Linked DNA regions of Lonchura striata. The protein of the gene in region 1 interacts with the protein of each later gene in a pairwise test. Links are inferred from orthologs where the notes say so. Each region holds a gene or a part of one and is shown in the gene's direction. Other genes may lie near its edges.

Evidence for each region.
Region 2: the proteins of transducin-like enhancer protein 1 (region 1) and transcription cofactor HES-6 interact in binary tests that used the Homo sapiens proteins (3 or more experiments, as listed by UniProt). The link is inferred for Lonchura striata from reciprocal best matches to the Homo sapiens genes TLE1 and HES6.

The regions. Positions count from the first base shown.
Region 1 is NC_134642.1:25,609,847-25,617,549, reverse strand, and holds the start of transducin-like enhancer protein 1, read left to right. Parts: upstream 1-4,474; 5' UTR 4,475-4,807; coding exon 4,808-4,831; intron 4,832-5,149; exon of another isoform or gene 5,150-5,223; coding exon of another isoform or gene 5,224-5,238; intron 5,239-5,402; coding exon 5,403-5,503; intron 5,504-7,031; coding exon 7,032-7,095; intron 7,096-7,189; coding exon 7,190-7,234; intron 7,235-7,703. UniProt on the Homo sapiens protein: Transcriptional corepressor that binds to a number of transcription factors. Inhibits NF-kappa-B-regulated gene expression. Inhibits the transcriptional activation mediated by FOXA2, and by CTNNB1 and TCF family members in Wnt signaling.
Region 2 is NC_134612.1:2,192,407-2,199,621, reverse strand, and holds transcription cofactor HES-6, read left to right. Parts: upstream 1-5,083; coding exon 5,084-5,149; intron 5,150-5,219; coding exon 5,220-5,306; intron 5,307-5,381; coding exon 5,382-5,463; intron 5,464-5,547; coding exon 5,548-5,942; 3' UTR 5,943-6,659; downstream 6,660-7,215. UniProt on the Homo sapiens protein: Does not bind DNA itself but suppresses both HES1-mediated N box-dependent transcriptional repression and binding of HES1 to E box sequences.

The DNA.
Region 1 (7,703 bases):
CATTTTGGACCCAAGCATGCTTTTTTTTCACTCAAAACTCCAACTGCTTCCAGTGTGAATTTTTGGTAGCCAGTTTAGGATTAGGCCTTTTGCTTTATGAGGTAGGAAGATGACACAAACATTTTTACAGTAAAAAACAATTTATTTCAAACAACAGAGTAAAACGGATGACTGGGCAGAACAGTTGGAAGGGTTAATACTGAAGGAAATATTTTTATTTTTGAAACCTGAGACAGAAATTTAAAAACAAGTATTTTTAATCCAGTTGGAGAATTGTGTAGAGTATATACAGCATTGTGGCAGAATGCTACCTACTTGAATACAACATGCTTAACCATATTTTGCTGCCTTTCTATGGAGTAAATAGTGAATATTGCCATGGAACGAGAATGTTCAGTTTCCTGGAATTAATCCAGATTTATACCCATCCAACAAAACGAATTTTTTTCATGCTTTAATGAGCCAGTGATGATGCATTATAAATTAGTTAAACATCAGATCATGTTGGTTATAATTCCTGCTATGTAATGTCAGTAGCTCTCATTAAAAACAAAACAAAACAAAAACAAAAACAAACAAAAAAAAAGAGCACATTTGATTCTACTTCTGCTTGTACAGCTCTTCTCTCTTAAATACAATGGATAAGATTCAAAATGCCCTTAAGTGTCTGATTCCAGAATCAAAGAAGGTTAAAAGCACTTGTTAATAAGAACCAGGAAAACAGAGCTTTTCTCCTTCTGTTAAAACATGCCTTGGATGTTTTAATGTTGACAAATATAGGTAACATGACATTTCAACTTTCATGTAGGTGAGCAATTAAGAAAAAAACCAAACCCCTTTTGTTTATGTTCCAAAACTTAGTGTTGTTTTAATGTCATATCTGTCAATGTCTCTTTAACAACTTGTGCCAGCAGGTTAAGCAAAGTACAACAAAACTTAGGTAATTGTTACATTATTATAGACTCCATAGCTACTAGATACACACACAAAGTATATAATCATAGTTTGCATTTTTATGGCACCTTTCATCTGAAGATCTAAGTACTTTAATAAGCATTAAGTAATTAAGCTTTCCATTGCCATGAACTGAGCAGTGAGCTGGCTTGTCCAACACAACAAGGGAAGAGCTGGGAACAGAATGCAAGACTTTAAGCTTTGCCTATGCAGGTGGAACACCAGACAAGTTTACACTCCCATCCTGGGAACCACAGTCTATCAAAGCTCACTATCAAGGATATTTTGTCACATCTCTTAGAAACCATTAAAAGTCCATGTTTATTTATGCATTCCCCAGGATGCATGCATATATGCATCATATGCATTAACAGAAACATACAAGCATATGTATAGGTACAGACCCCATTATATATAGACCCCATTATATATAGACCCTATTGTATACATATATACAGACATGCACGGAGACACAGATGTATCAGTGCTCATTGACAAAACTCTGCTGTCCTGGAACAAAGTCCAAACTTTTCACTGCAGAAGACTGAGACAATTTCACTCCCTTTTGTGTTGGATGTTTTTAAGTAAAACTGGGAATACAGAACATTTTGGGAATAATAATGGGAAATTATCACTCTGAAGGAGTAAAGCTTTACTTTGATATTGCAAAACATTAGATTTCCTATCAAATATTAAACACAGAATGCTCTTTCTTTAGGATACAAGATGAACCACAATGTAATTCTAAGGAAGCAATCTCTAAAGGCTAGTGGGGAATTATAAAAAATACCCTTACCATGTTTAAATGATGTGGTTCAACATTCTAAGACCTCTTTTTAGGCAGCACACAAGTATATACCAACAGCAAAAGTGTGTATTAAGGCAATGTCTTAAGTCCAGAGGTATTTCACACTTCATTGTGGAATTCTGCTATGAATAAGGTGCTTGCTAATAGAGGATATGTTTTGAAGTGTACTTCCCACTGCAAGCTATGTCACCATTTGTCATCTCCTCAGCAAGCACACAGAGCCTGTGGAATTTGTTTGACCCTCATCTATCTCAAGTGGGCCTATAAACCAAAGTTATTGACAGCTTTCCTCTATCAGACCCCTCTTAAAAAGAAGGCAGTTTTCCCCAAAGGACAGCTTCCGTGGGATCAGAGGGTCATTCCAACCAACACGGCAGTTGGCGTGCCCTGAGTCGCGCAAGCACGCGGGAGGGCTCATCCTTCCCTCGGCGTTTTCCACGGCGCGTTGTCAGCAGGTGCCGCGGCCCCGCCGCCGCCGTTTGGCGAACGAGGTGGGGCCGTGCGCCCGACCCACCCGCCGCACTGTCACGGGCGTCGCCGCCGCTCTGGGGCTGGGGCGCGGAGCGGGCAGTGCGGGCAGTGCGGTGCGGGCAGTGCGATGAGGGCAGTGCGATGAGGGCAGTACGATGCGGGCAGTGCGATGCGGGCAGTGCGATGAGGGCAGTGCGATGAGGGCAGTGTGATGAGGGCAGTGTGATGCGGGCAGTGCGATGCGGGCAGTGCGATGAGGGCAGTGTGATGCGGGCAGTGTGATGAGGGCAGTGCAGAGCGGGCAGTGCGGAGCGGGCAGTGCGATGCGGGCAGTGCGGAGCGGGCAGTGCGATGCGGGCAGTGCGATGAGGGCAGTGCGATGAGGGCAGTGTGATGAGGGCAGTGTGATGCGGGCAGTGCGATGCGGGCAGTGCGATGAGGGCAGTGTGATGCGGGCAGTGTGATGAGGGCAGTGTGATGAGGGCAGTGTGATGCGGGCAGTGCGGTGCGGGCAGTGTGATGCGGGCAGCGCAGGGGGAGCGGGCGGTGCGGAGCGGGCAGTGTGATGCGGGCAGTGTGATGAGGGCAGTGTGATGCGGGCAGTGTGATGCGGGCAGTGTGATGAGGGCAGTGCGGAGCGGGCAGTGCGATGAGGGCAGTGTGATGAGGGCAGTGTGATGAAGGCAGTGTGATGAGGGCAGTGTGATGCGGGCAGTGTGATGCGGGCAGTGTGATGAAGGCAGTGTGATGAGGGCAGTGTGATGCGGGCAGTGCGGAGCGGGCAGTGCGGTGCGGGCAGTGTGATGCGGGCAGTGCGGAGCGGGCAGTGTGATGCGGGCAGCGCAGGGGGAGCGGGCGGTGCGGAGCTGAGGCGCTGCCCGAGCCGGACGGAGCCGCCCCGCGGCTCCGGCGGAGCCGCCGCGCGCAGGCGCCGCGCGCCCGCTGCCGCAGCCCCGCCCGCGCGCGCGGGCCCCACGTTACTTTGACGGACAGCGCGGCCTCCCCGCTCTCCTTCCCGCCGACCTTCCCCGCCCCCCGCGGCGCCGCGCGCCCCGCGCCCTCCCATTGGCCGGCTCCGAGCGCGGCCGCCGCTCCGCCGCAGAGACGCGGCCCAGCGAGAGCCGGGAGGCGGCGCGACTCCGGCTCCTGCCATTGGGCCGCGGGGCCGCGCCGCGTCACGGGCCCACGTTGGCGGCGGGGCCGGCGATTGGCCGGCCGCCCCCCCGCGCGGCGGCGTGGGCGGGGCCGCGCGGCTGGTTAGCCGGCGGAGTGTGAAACCGCGTGCTAATGTAAGCGGCGCGGGCGAGCTCGGCGTGTCCAGCTCGGCCGCAGCCGCGCTCCGGTCCCGCCGAGCGCCGCCCGCCAGGCCGCCGCCTCGGCTTCTCCTTGCCCTTGGCCGGCGCGGAGGGGCCGGGGCAAAGGAAGCCGGTGGTGTTCCCGTTCGGATTTTTCAGCTGGGAGGAACTTTATCCCGGGCCACCGCGGAGGAGAGCGAGGATGAGGATGATGCTGCTGATGTTGCCGCGATGTATCGCGATAGGGGGGTTCTGGTGAGACGCGCAGCTCCCAGATACGCGCCCGCCAGTAAGAGGCTGTAGTGGTGGCTGTTGCACGAAGGAGCTTCCCGTCTGATTTGAACCTCAAACGAACGCTTTCATTTCTATTTTTTTTTTTCTTTTTTTTTTTTTTTTTAATCTTCCCCAACGGGGCTGGTTGCCTGGAGGCTAAAGCCAGCGAGCATCTTGAGGGGTTTGCTTTCCTTTTGTCCTGGGGACTTCTCTGCAACTAACGGCAGAGTCTGTGCTGCGTGTGTGGTACCCTTTCCTCTGCCCTCCAGCGTTTCGTGCATCTGCTATTGGAGCTGCTCCGATCCGCGACGTCTGTGCGAGAGCCCCCGCCCGCCTCCTTCCTCCTCCTCCTGCCTTCCTCCCTTGTTCATCGCCCTGTGTCTTGCGGGTGGTTTGGCCCCTGCGCCGACGCCTGGGAGCAACGCGTGCCTGCCTGGAGACTTTCTTCGCCCCCTCGGCTTGCGACGCTCCCGCCGCGGACACTGCGATCCCCTCCCTCCGGCTGGATTTTCCCCTTTTGACAAGGGGCAGAAGAGAAGAGTCGCCTCCGCCTGGGGTTTCCGGCCTTACAATCGCATCGACCACTGCGAGCCCGTGAAGGGGATTATTCGCTCCTGCCGAGGGGCGGCTGTTGCCTCCCCCCCGAGCCCCGTCGGGTCCCGTCCCGCCGCGCCCGGGCGTTGCGGGCGCCGCCCGCCGGTCGGAGCGCCGCCGAAAGAGCGCAGAGCGCTGGTGACCGTCCCAAGCGCGGCTCGTCCGCCTTTCCCGGCCATCTTCAGCCCTCCTTGGAACAACAGCAACAAAGGACGCCGCGGCTGGGGAATGTCCCCGCGGCGGGGGCACTGAGCCGCGCCTCGCCCCGCTGCTGCCCGCGGCGGCGGAGGGAAGGCCGTCGGCGGGTGTCGCCGCTCCGGTCCCCTTGGCGCACCGGGTGTGAAGCCGGGGCAGGGCAGGGCGTCTCGCCGCGAGAGCCGCGCTGCGAGGGAGACCCGCCGTGGCCGGAGCCATGTTCCCCCAGAGCCGGCACCCCGTAAGTATGGCTTGGGCCGCCGGTCCGGGGCGAGGGCCGGGCGGTCCGCAGCGCAGCTCCAGCTCGGTTGCTCGGCTGGAACTGGGGGGAGGGAGAGGAAGGTGCCCTCACAAGTTCATTCTCTCCGGGGTCGAGCGGCTAATCCTGCCTGCCGGAACGGCCCCCAGTATTTTTTGTTGCGTGGGCAACTTACTTGCCTTGGGAAGGACGGCGGGGGCTTGCCGCCGGGCCAGGCAGCATCCGCCAACACACAGCGCCCGGAACGGGGCTGGCTGTGCCTCTGCGGCGGGGGTCGGCGGGGAGGAGTCGGCACTTCCCGCTTTCGTGTAGACGGCGGCGGCAGGAGCGGGTGGGTCGGATCCGGAGGGCGGTTAACCTCGGTCCCACCGCAGATGAGGGACGGGAAGGTGGGTAACAAGTGCGCTGCGCCCCGGGGCGGAGGCGGACCGGGCCGGACGCTTTCTCTAGCCCTCCGCCTCGGCCGCGATGGACGGCGCCCCCTCCTCTTCCTCGCGGGGTGGCCGCGCAGTGTCTGAACGTGCATCTCTCTCCCGTGCCGCCACCGCGCCAGACCCCGCACCAGGCTGCGGGCCAGCCTTTTAAATTCACCATCCCGGAGTCGCTGGACCGCATCAAAGAAGAGTTCCAGTTCCTCCAGGCGCAGTACCACAGGTGAGCGGCGGCGGGCCGCCCCGGGACCAGGGACTACCGCGCGGTCCCCGCCGGCGCGGGGCTGCACCGAACGGGCGCGTCCAGGCGGTGGCGTGCGGCGTCGCGGCCGAGCCCCGCGGGGACCCCGCCGGGCCGGGAGGGGAGCGCGGGCGGCCCCGGCCCGGCGCGGGCTGCCGGGGGGACCGGGCGCGCACGGGGGACAGCCCTGCCCTGCGCGGGCCCGTGCTTGAACTGCCGAAACTGGAGCGTTCGGCAGCTCTGTGCGTTTGAAAAAACACGCTGTGTCTTGGGAACCCGTATGTGGAGGGGTCATTTCAGTGTATCACGGGAAGACCTGCGCCGGTTCTGTGGCACAGCGCGTTAAGGAGGCTACTTCTCCTGTTTGCTCATTTGTGTGTGGTGTTAATGCAAAAATTAATAAAATGCCAGCGTCCTGTGGTTGAGAGTCAGGAAGGACGGTTAAAACAAACAAGTACTCAGAGCAGTAACAAAGTTTACCAGAATCCTTGGAAGTTGCGGGATGCACGTCTCGTTGCTGCCCTTCTTTGTGGGTGTGTGCGTGCTGCTGAGGTCCTTCCAGAGATTTAGGGTACAGATTCTTTTTGACCCTGGACATGTGGTGTTAAGGAGCATTAATCTTCACTGATTTTGTACTTATGAGCACCTGGAATATTTGGACAGAAGTAAAAGCTTTACAGGTTTCCCAGTCAGAAATTGATTTGTTTTAGTTATGCTTCCTCTTCCTTTACCTATGATACTGTAGCGTTAACTTGCTTAAGCCATTCATTGCTTAGGAAATACAATTTAAACTCTAAACATCTGGCTTTGTAGCTGTGAGTGAAAAATACTGCTTGCACATGAACTGTTCAATAGGATGTTCACAAGTAACAGTTTTAAAAAAATCAGTTTGATAGAAAACAAAGGGAACATTGAGGCTCTCGGTGAAAGTAGTCAGAATTATATCATGGTTTGTGATGAGACATGTAAATGCAACTTACTTTTGTTTATGAAAACAAAAGTGGAAAAGAAACTTGCCAGTAAACGATACTCAGAATTACCAGTTTTCAAGCACTGGGCAAGGTAACATTTGCTAGAATGTATTTAAGGTAAGAATTATACTCGAGTTGTAATTGTAAATGTGAGTGGTGTTACTTGGCAGTCACTTACTAAATGCTGTGTAGAAAGAAATGCTTCTATTTTTATCTTTTTTACTCCTGAAAAGTACTTACAGTAAATTCAGATCCTATTCTAACTTGCAAGTTGCAGCACTTAATAGCAGCTCTTTGTCAAAATAGGAAGAGTGGATATGTTTAGTTTCTGTAGACAGTTCAGGCCTAATACAGCACTCAAGGCATGTTCTTTAAATTTCTTCTTTGGCCTTTTTATTTCAAGTATGATTAAGTCTTTCTATATTGCAAGTCAGTTTATTATTTTTTTTATTAATTAGCAGCTTATGTCAAAATACAAATAGGGAGGGTAGATGCCAAAAAAAATGACATGTTACATTAAAGCATGATCTATTTTGTAGCCTTAAATTGGAATGTGAGAAACTGGCAAGTGAAAAGACGGAAATGCAGAGGCATTATGTGATGGTAAGTATATTTGTTTTTATCTTTATTTCAATAAATATCTTTTAATATAATGTAAGTCAGCATAAGAAAATAACGTGTACTCATTTATTTGCAGTACTATGAAATGTCGTATGGATTAAACATTGAAATGCACAAACAGGTAAGACATTTTGTTTTCGAAGCCGCAAAATCTGCAGTCTGTCTGGTGCATTTAAATGTATCTGTGCTGTTTATGGTCAGATGACGGTATCGTGTCTGAATCAATAGCCTGATTTGTAGCCTGATTAGTAGTCTTTTGCCTACCTCCTGTCAGATAAGGTGTAGATTAGGTTAAGTGGCAGCACCTTTTTTGGTATTGGTTCTGAAAGACTTTGGCATAAATAGAAAAGATCTTGTAGCTGTGATTTTAAAAATGCAGTTCAGTTCTTTGCAAGTATGAGATATTTTGAGTTGGGTTTCTTTTTGTTTGTTTGTTTTGTTACTGGTATAGGCGCTGACATGTAGAACTGATCCTGTGTCTGTGTAACATATGTAGTCATAGTTACTCATATCCCAGCCTTATAGAGGTATGAACAGATTAGTGACTTGGAAAGATCTAGTTATGACTATGAGTTTGCAAGTTCCCATAA
Region 2 (7,215 bases), on another chromosome or scaffold:
GCTTCAGCGCCTTCTCTGAAACAAATGTACTTTAATGAGGATGCCTGTAAGGCATTTAGGAACTAATATAAATATCTTGCAGAGGAGGACTGTGATACACACAGCCTTGTTACAAACATAGCATAAAACCCATGATGAAGACAGCCCCATGATAAAGATAACTTTCAATTACCAAAAATATTAGAGACATCAAATACAAGAGGCTTCCCTGGAAACACAATGTTACTGCTCCCTTCAGCACCACAGGCAGCCTCTGGAGTTTTTTATCCAACTGTACTTGCTTCAGACAATTATTCTCACCCCTCTGAAATACCTTCCACAAACATAATGTGCCCAGGCGATGCTCTCTGCAACAGGATCCTGCCACAGTCAGTGACAGACCACAGCTAAATGGCAGGAGCTGAAGCAGTTTGCAAAGCTTTATGAGTTCAGGCTTCTCTTTGCAGGAGGCTAGCAGGGTGACAAGGTAAGAAACATGGCACTGAGGGTTTTGCTGGGGCAGTGCCCCCGTGCACAGCACCCATCCATCCCTCACCACCGGGAGAGGCTCTGCTCTCCTCTCTGCTTGCTCAGCACAGCCCCTCACCATTGCTTCCATTAGGAAATCACCACCTCTGAAATGGCAAAAAGTCAAAGTACCTTTGACAGAAGGCTGGGCCCGTCTTCTCAGGCAAAAGGGACCCCCAGCTTCCACAGGAACAAATGCAGTCGAGGGGCTCCTCTGTGAATGGACATAAGACCCTTTTGAACGCTACTCATTAGTGTTTTGGCTGGCATGAACTGTTCCTCTGTGCCCCAGCTGATGAACACTAGCACTGCTGCCAAGTCTGCTGATAAATAAATAAGGATAGGAAAAGCCTTATGGTTTCTGAAAAGGGCAGCAGGAACTCAGTGCTCAAGGCAGCAAACACAATTTGCAGTAACAAACAGACTGGAGTCCAAGAGCAGCTCAGTGGTGACATTCAACCCTATTTTCCTCTTAAACATCAGCTATTAACAGCAGAGAAATCGATGGCACTGAGGGCAGCTAGGATCCAGCTGATGGGGAATGCTGCAGCCTTCTCCCAACAGCCTTCCTCATTCACTCCATTTATCACCTACAGCCTCAGCTCTTCCAGCTCCAGCCTCACTCCTCTGCTCCTCAGCTCTGCAAGCAGGACTAATCTTCATCAGTGACAAGGCAAGAGACTAATTACAGTACACATTTCATTTGTGACTGGACCCCAGGGAAAGGAGGAGGGGGAAGAAAGCTTTCGGCTTGCTCTGCCAGCTAAACAGTTTGTATTTGTTAGTGCAGAAATAAGTCCGATGGCAGCCAACTGATGCATAAGGAGCAGCTCACCCATTAACCTCACATCCACAGTTCACACCCACCACCATTTATATGCACCATTAATATTTATAAGGATGACGTGTCTTTTTGACAGGAACTTGTGCCTCCAGTGACAACAGATGTTATACCATTTATGAAAGAAACTACTCAAGCATTTCCAATGGACCTTGTGCATGCTCATCATGTCTTTATCCCGTGCCCTGATTGTATTATTCACACAGAGCCTGGGTCACCTCCTGACTCCAGTCCAAGGGCATGCATGGCAGACACACTTGCCTGTAGAGTACTCAAAAATGCTTTGAGCTTTATTATGTCTTTGTGAATGCTCTTCTGGGAGACAGAGACCTTCCAAATGCACCTGCCAACTGAAACAGAAGCGTGCGAGGCCATGACGTGTCAGAAATGAGGATCTGGCACTTAGCTGGGTCTCCAAAATGCATGGCACATAGCTGAGGCTCCAGGATGGCCTCCCACAATTGCCCTTGCCACTGTCACCACAGCTGCATTAGTGCTCATGCACCTCCTAGAAAGAATTAAAGCCTGTTTTATAGTGTGTTATACTACTCTACACACAGGCTTGCAGGAGAACACATGCAGCAAGGCCCAGATGCTATTATCTCTGCTAAAATGATGCTGTTCCTTGGCCAAACTGCCATTTATAGCTTGTGTAGGAGCCTGTCTCTGGCAGGACAGAGCTCCCTGCTCTAGCAAAGGTTAAACTCCCACCCTTCATGCAGGAGGAAGCAGTGCCTGTACACATCCCCTCAGCAGGGAGCAGGATGGGCTTAACCTGGTTAAAATACAGATGAATTGATGGGTTTAGTGAAATCTTCAGGAGCCACCACACATGGACAAACACCGAGGTATTGGACAAGGCATCTAAGCAATGTTCTCTTTCACTAGATTGCAGTTGACATTTCTATTAAAATGCATGAGATTACCATGATTCGCTTCACCTGATGTGATGGAACTTGTTTAAAGTAGCACAAAAATGTCACATTGTCCCTGTGGGCTAGAGGAGATAGCCTGCAGTGACTTCCTCCTCCAGAATAGCAGCTCTAGTGATGCCCTGATATTTATGGCACATGCATTTTTAATGCCCTGCACAAACAGCTCCAGCATTTGTCAACTCATTTGACCTGCAGCTTTTCAAAGAAAATACAAAAAGACACGCTGCAGAACAAGAGCCAGCAATATGTACAACGCCTTGCCATCAGCACCTGCCCAGTCAGAGCAGAAACAGGATGGTACAGCCATGGCCAACTCTTTCTGGCCATTTTTAGCCAAGATTTGCTGCTGAAGTCTCCTCGTGCATCCAGAAGTGCTCACCTTGTGCCTCCAGCTCCTCACTGCTCAAAAACTCAGATGGAGGCTTGTGAGAGATCATTGCTGTTCAGCAGCCACCAGAGTTTCATCTGACACATCTGAACCTCGACTGGGGTGAATTCGGGAGCTCCTTCCCTTCTCACTTCTCTACGTTAACAAAGCAGTGCCTCAAACCCAAGTTAGCTGTGAAACACAGCTGGTACAAACACCTGCAGTGAAGAGGCCTGGCAGGTTTGGGGACTGCACAGGATTTACACCAGTGTTAATCTCACTGTTTGAGCAGGGAATAAATGAATATTTGTTTGGTTTGCTTTTACCCCCACCAGTAACCAGGCCCACCCACTTCCCCCCACTCCCATTCTAGGAAAAGCTGAGCTTTCTCTGAAAAGAAAAAGAGCTCACAAACGCTTGGAATTCATATTTTACCAACAATTACATACATTGTGTGTTACAGCACATTTACCGGATGTTTGTGTGCATTTGTGTATTTTTATACACCTCTGATGCCTTAGGTGCCTAGTTTTGGTTCAGAACAAGGACAGTTCTTCAAAATTGTGACACCCATTACTTTGCTGCAGTTTGCATGCACGCAGTCATGGTTCTCCCCTGCCACTTAGGTAGGCTAAGTATGCATCAGCCAGGCACAGAATGGTCACAGGTGTCTCTGCTTCAGTACAAGAATGTTCTGTATTTGGCCTGGTCCAAACAGTATTTCTGCTTAGCCAGCACTAGTTATATCATCAAAAAGAATGAGCTGCTTGCCACATTGTGTCACGCAGAGAATTCAGTGCATCAGAGGCAGAAGGACAGATTTAGGCATCCAGCCCCCAGTACATCCCACTCTGCTCCTGCCTGGTGCAGGGAAACTTGTCACCACCTGAACAGACTCTGACAAAACCCAAGCACTGATGCTTTCACATAAAAGGACAAAACACACCAGAAAACACCTTTCTGAAAACAACACCTCCTGTCCACCGTGATACAAAACAAAGAGTGGCCCAAGCTTAGGTCTCCAGCCAGGATATCCCACGGCCTGGCTTTATCCTTCTGCACTCCGTGATGGCTTTGGGCAGGCAGTGCCGAGCCTCTCCGTCCTCTCCTGTCACACAGGGATTAGCACGGCGTAGGCACGGAGCTTTTCAGGGCGCTTTGAAGATGAAAAGCAGCGCTGAGCAGCGGCGGACTGCCGGCAGCAAGGGCCAGCCCGGCCTTTCCCGGAGCAGGTGCCGGTACCCGCCGGGCCCGCCCGGCACCCACCCCGCCGTGGCTCCAGCTCATCAGACCTCTCCGCAAGGAAAGCTTCAGCACCAGCAAAGGCAAAGGGGAGACAAACCGGGAGGAAGCCGGAGCAGGAGGGGAGCGAGCGGGCGGCTCCGCGCCGCCAGCGCCGCTGCAAGCGGGGAACGCGTCTCCCGTTTCCTCGGGCGGCAAAAACATGACACGCATTAGCGAGGAGAATAAAAGCAGGGAAACAAAGGAGCGGGAGCGAACACCTGTCGCTCTCCTCGGGGACGAGCCCTAATGCTTTTATTTGCCTCGGTCTGCCGGGGAACTGCAGCTGCCAACTGTCATCAGCGTCAAGTTACCGCACAAAGCTGCGCGGCTCTTTCAGCCGGGGCGGCACCGAGCTCTCCGCTGCCCGTGGCCACCGGGCAGGGAGCAGCCCCGGGGCTGGGGATGCGCTGCACCGCCGAGCAGCCGCGGAGCCCCGCACAGCCACGGCCGCAAGGAGCGCGTCCTGCCGGGCTGGCACCGCGCCCCGGCCCGAGAGCCGCCCCATCCGCTGGCACGGGCAGGACAAGACCGGTTCCGTGGCCAGCTGTGCCTGCTTAGTCCCACGGCTTCCCGGTCACGGCTCAGACCGACTCTGGCACGCCCAGGTCGGTGCTGATGCCCCGCCGGTAGCTAGCCGGCCCCGCTGTGCTCTCCGTTCCACGAGCACCCCGGCGCGCACACACGGGCGTTCCGCGGCCCTGGGCCCGGAACGGGCGCTGGGCTTTGGGCTTCACTGGGGCACGCTGCCGGCAGGGGCGCGGCCCGGCTCAGTACGGCACGGCAGGGCACGACCCGGTTCGGCCCGGCCCGGCTCGGCATCGCTCAGTACGGCACGGCCCGGCATGGCCCGGCACGGCCCGGCACGGCACGGCCCGGTACAGCACGGAAAGGCGCGGCACAGCACGGCCCGGTACAGCACGGAAAGGCGCCGCACGGCACGGCCCGCGCCCGCTGCGGGCCCGGGCCCAGCGCCGGGCCGCTCCGGCCGCCCCGCCCCGCCGCAGACAAAGCGCGCGGCCGCCATTGGCCCGTTCGGCCAACGCTCGGCGCGGCCCGCGCGGCGCGGCCAATGGGCTCATTGACATGCAAATCGCGGGGTATAAAAGCGGCGGCGCGGGGCGGGAGCGGCGCGCAGCGAGCGGAGCGGCCATGGCGCCGGGCACGGAGCGCCCGCCGCACGGCGAGGGCTGCGCGGGGCCCCGCGGCGACCGGAGGGTGAGCGGCGGGCGGGGCCGGGCCCGGAGGGGCGGCGGGGGGCGGGCTGACGGCGCTGTTGTCCCCGCAGACGAGGAAGCCGCTGGTGGAGAAGAAGCGCCGGGCGCGCATCAACGAGAGCCTGCGGGAGCTGCGGCTGCTGCTGGCCGACAGCGAGGTGAGGCGGCGGCGCGGCGGGGCGGGGGCCGGCGGGGCCCGGGGCCGCGCTGACGGCCGCGGCGCCCCGGGTCAGTTTCAGGCGAAGCTGGAGAACGCGGAGGTGCTGGAGCGGACGGTGCGGCGGGTGCGGGCCGCGCTGGAGCGCCGCGCCCGCGGTGAGTGCCGGCCCGGGGCGCGGCGGGGGGCGGCCGGCCCGGCCCGCGCCTCGCCCGCGCCCCTCGCTGCGCCCCGCGCCGCAGCGGCCGGGCGGCGGCTCCTGGAGGCCAGCGAGCGCTTCGCCGCCGGCTACATCCAGTGCATGCACGAGGTGCACACCTTCGTCTCCAGCTGCCCCGGCATCGACGCCACCACGGCGGCCGAGCTGCTCAACCACCTGCTGGAGTCCATGCCCCTCAGCGAGGGCGGCTGCCCGGACTCGCTCACGGACCTTGCCGGGGAGCCGGCGCTCGGGCCCTGGCCCGCCGGCCGGGCGCCGGTGCCGCCGGCCGCAGCCCGCCCGGGCCCGGCGCTGCCCGGCCCCGGCGCGGAGACCCGCTCGGGCCCGGGCCAGACCGACACGGACGGACTGCTCGCGTCCCTGACGCGGGGCCTGCCCTCGCCCGGCTCGCCCAAATCCATGTGGAGACCCTGGTAACAGCGGAGCGCAGTCAGCGCGACCTGCCTGCGGTTCGGTGTGGGTGTCCGTGTGTCCGTGCGTGTGCCTGCCCGTGTGAGTGTCTGTGTGTCTGTCTGTGAGTGTGTGCGCGGCTGGCAGCGCTGTCACTGCGGACTCGGCACTGATGCTGTCGCACCCTGACAGCCTAATCGGGAACGCGTTAACATTTCATCCCCCGTGTGTGGCATTTTGTAACTTTTGGGGTTTTTTTTACGAGAGGATTGGGGGGGGGGGGAGGAGGGAAGTGGTTTGTAGTAGCAGAGCTCTCTGGTGGAGACACAGCAGTTATAACTCTGTTTCTTCTTGGCCCTTAGAAGCGGCCCAAACACCACTACCTTTTGAGCAAAAACCCTTGTGCATTTTAAATCGTGATAGTTAATGCCGAGAGAAGCTGGAGCTAAGTCTGCATGCACGGTTTTAAGCGTTCTAGTGATAGCATAGACCCCTGAAGGGTGTCTGTACCTGATAGCAGCCTAAAGTCTCACCTTTAGCAAAGGGAGAGAAAACTAGAAACTTGGTGGAAATAGACGTTTTAAAAGATGTTGGTGACAGGGTGCCTTTTAGAAACGAGTGTCTTTATGCACATTTTGCTTTTAGCACATTTGAATTTATTGTGACTTTATGTATATTAGGGTGTCAAATGTTTTTTTTATTTTTAATCTTTAATAAAAAAAACCCTGAATTCACAACGTGGCATATATTGTGTAATGTGGTACTCTTCTAACTGTTTAAAAACATTAAAAATACAGCTCCTCTTGTTGGCTCTTAACACCAGTATATCATGGAAACAATGCTGGTAATTAAGCACTCAATTATTGTACTAAGCATTGTTAACTATTGGAATTCAAATATTTCTTTTGTCTAATTCTAGTTGACACTTAAGTTTATTGAATGAGCAAGGTCAGACTGGCTGAGGTTGGTCCTAGGCCACAGAGTTTGAGGCTGGTTGGTCGGGATGCCAGGCTCAAGCCTGTTCTACTTGATCTGCCCTCTGAAGGCGTTGCTCACACATGCACAGCCCTAACTTCAGAAGTGCTAGGCAAATCCTGTCCTGGGGCAGAACTTCACAGGAGGGTGGTTTGCTTTTTGGGGTTTTTTTTTGTTGGTGGAGAGTGAAATAAGACTATTGAATAGAGTGTGCAGTAGATTTGAAAAGTGTTCTGTAATGTTTCTGGGGGCTTGGAGGGGGTCCCTCAGCATTCTTATCCTGATTCCTGCTTTGGGGAGGTGGAAGGTTATTTCTGCTGTGATA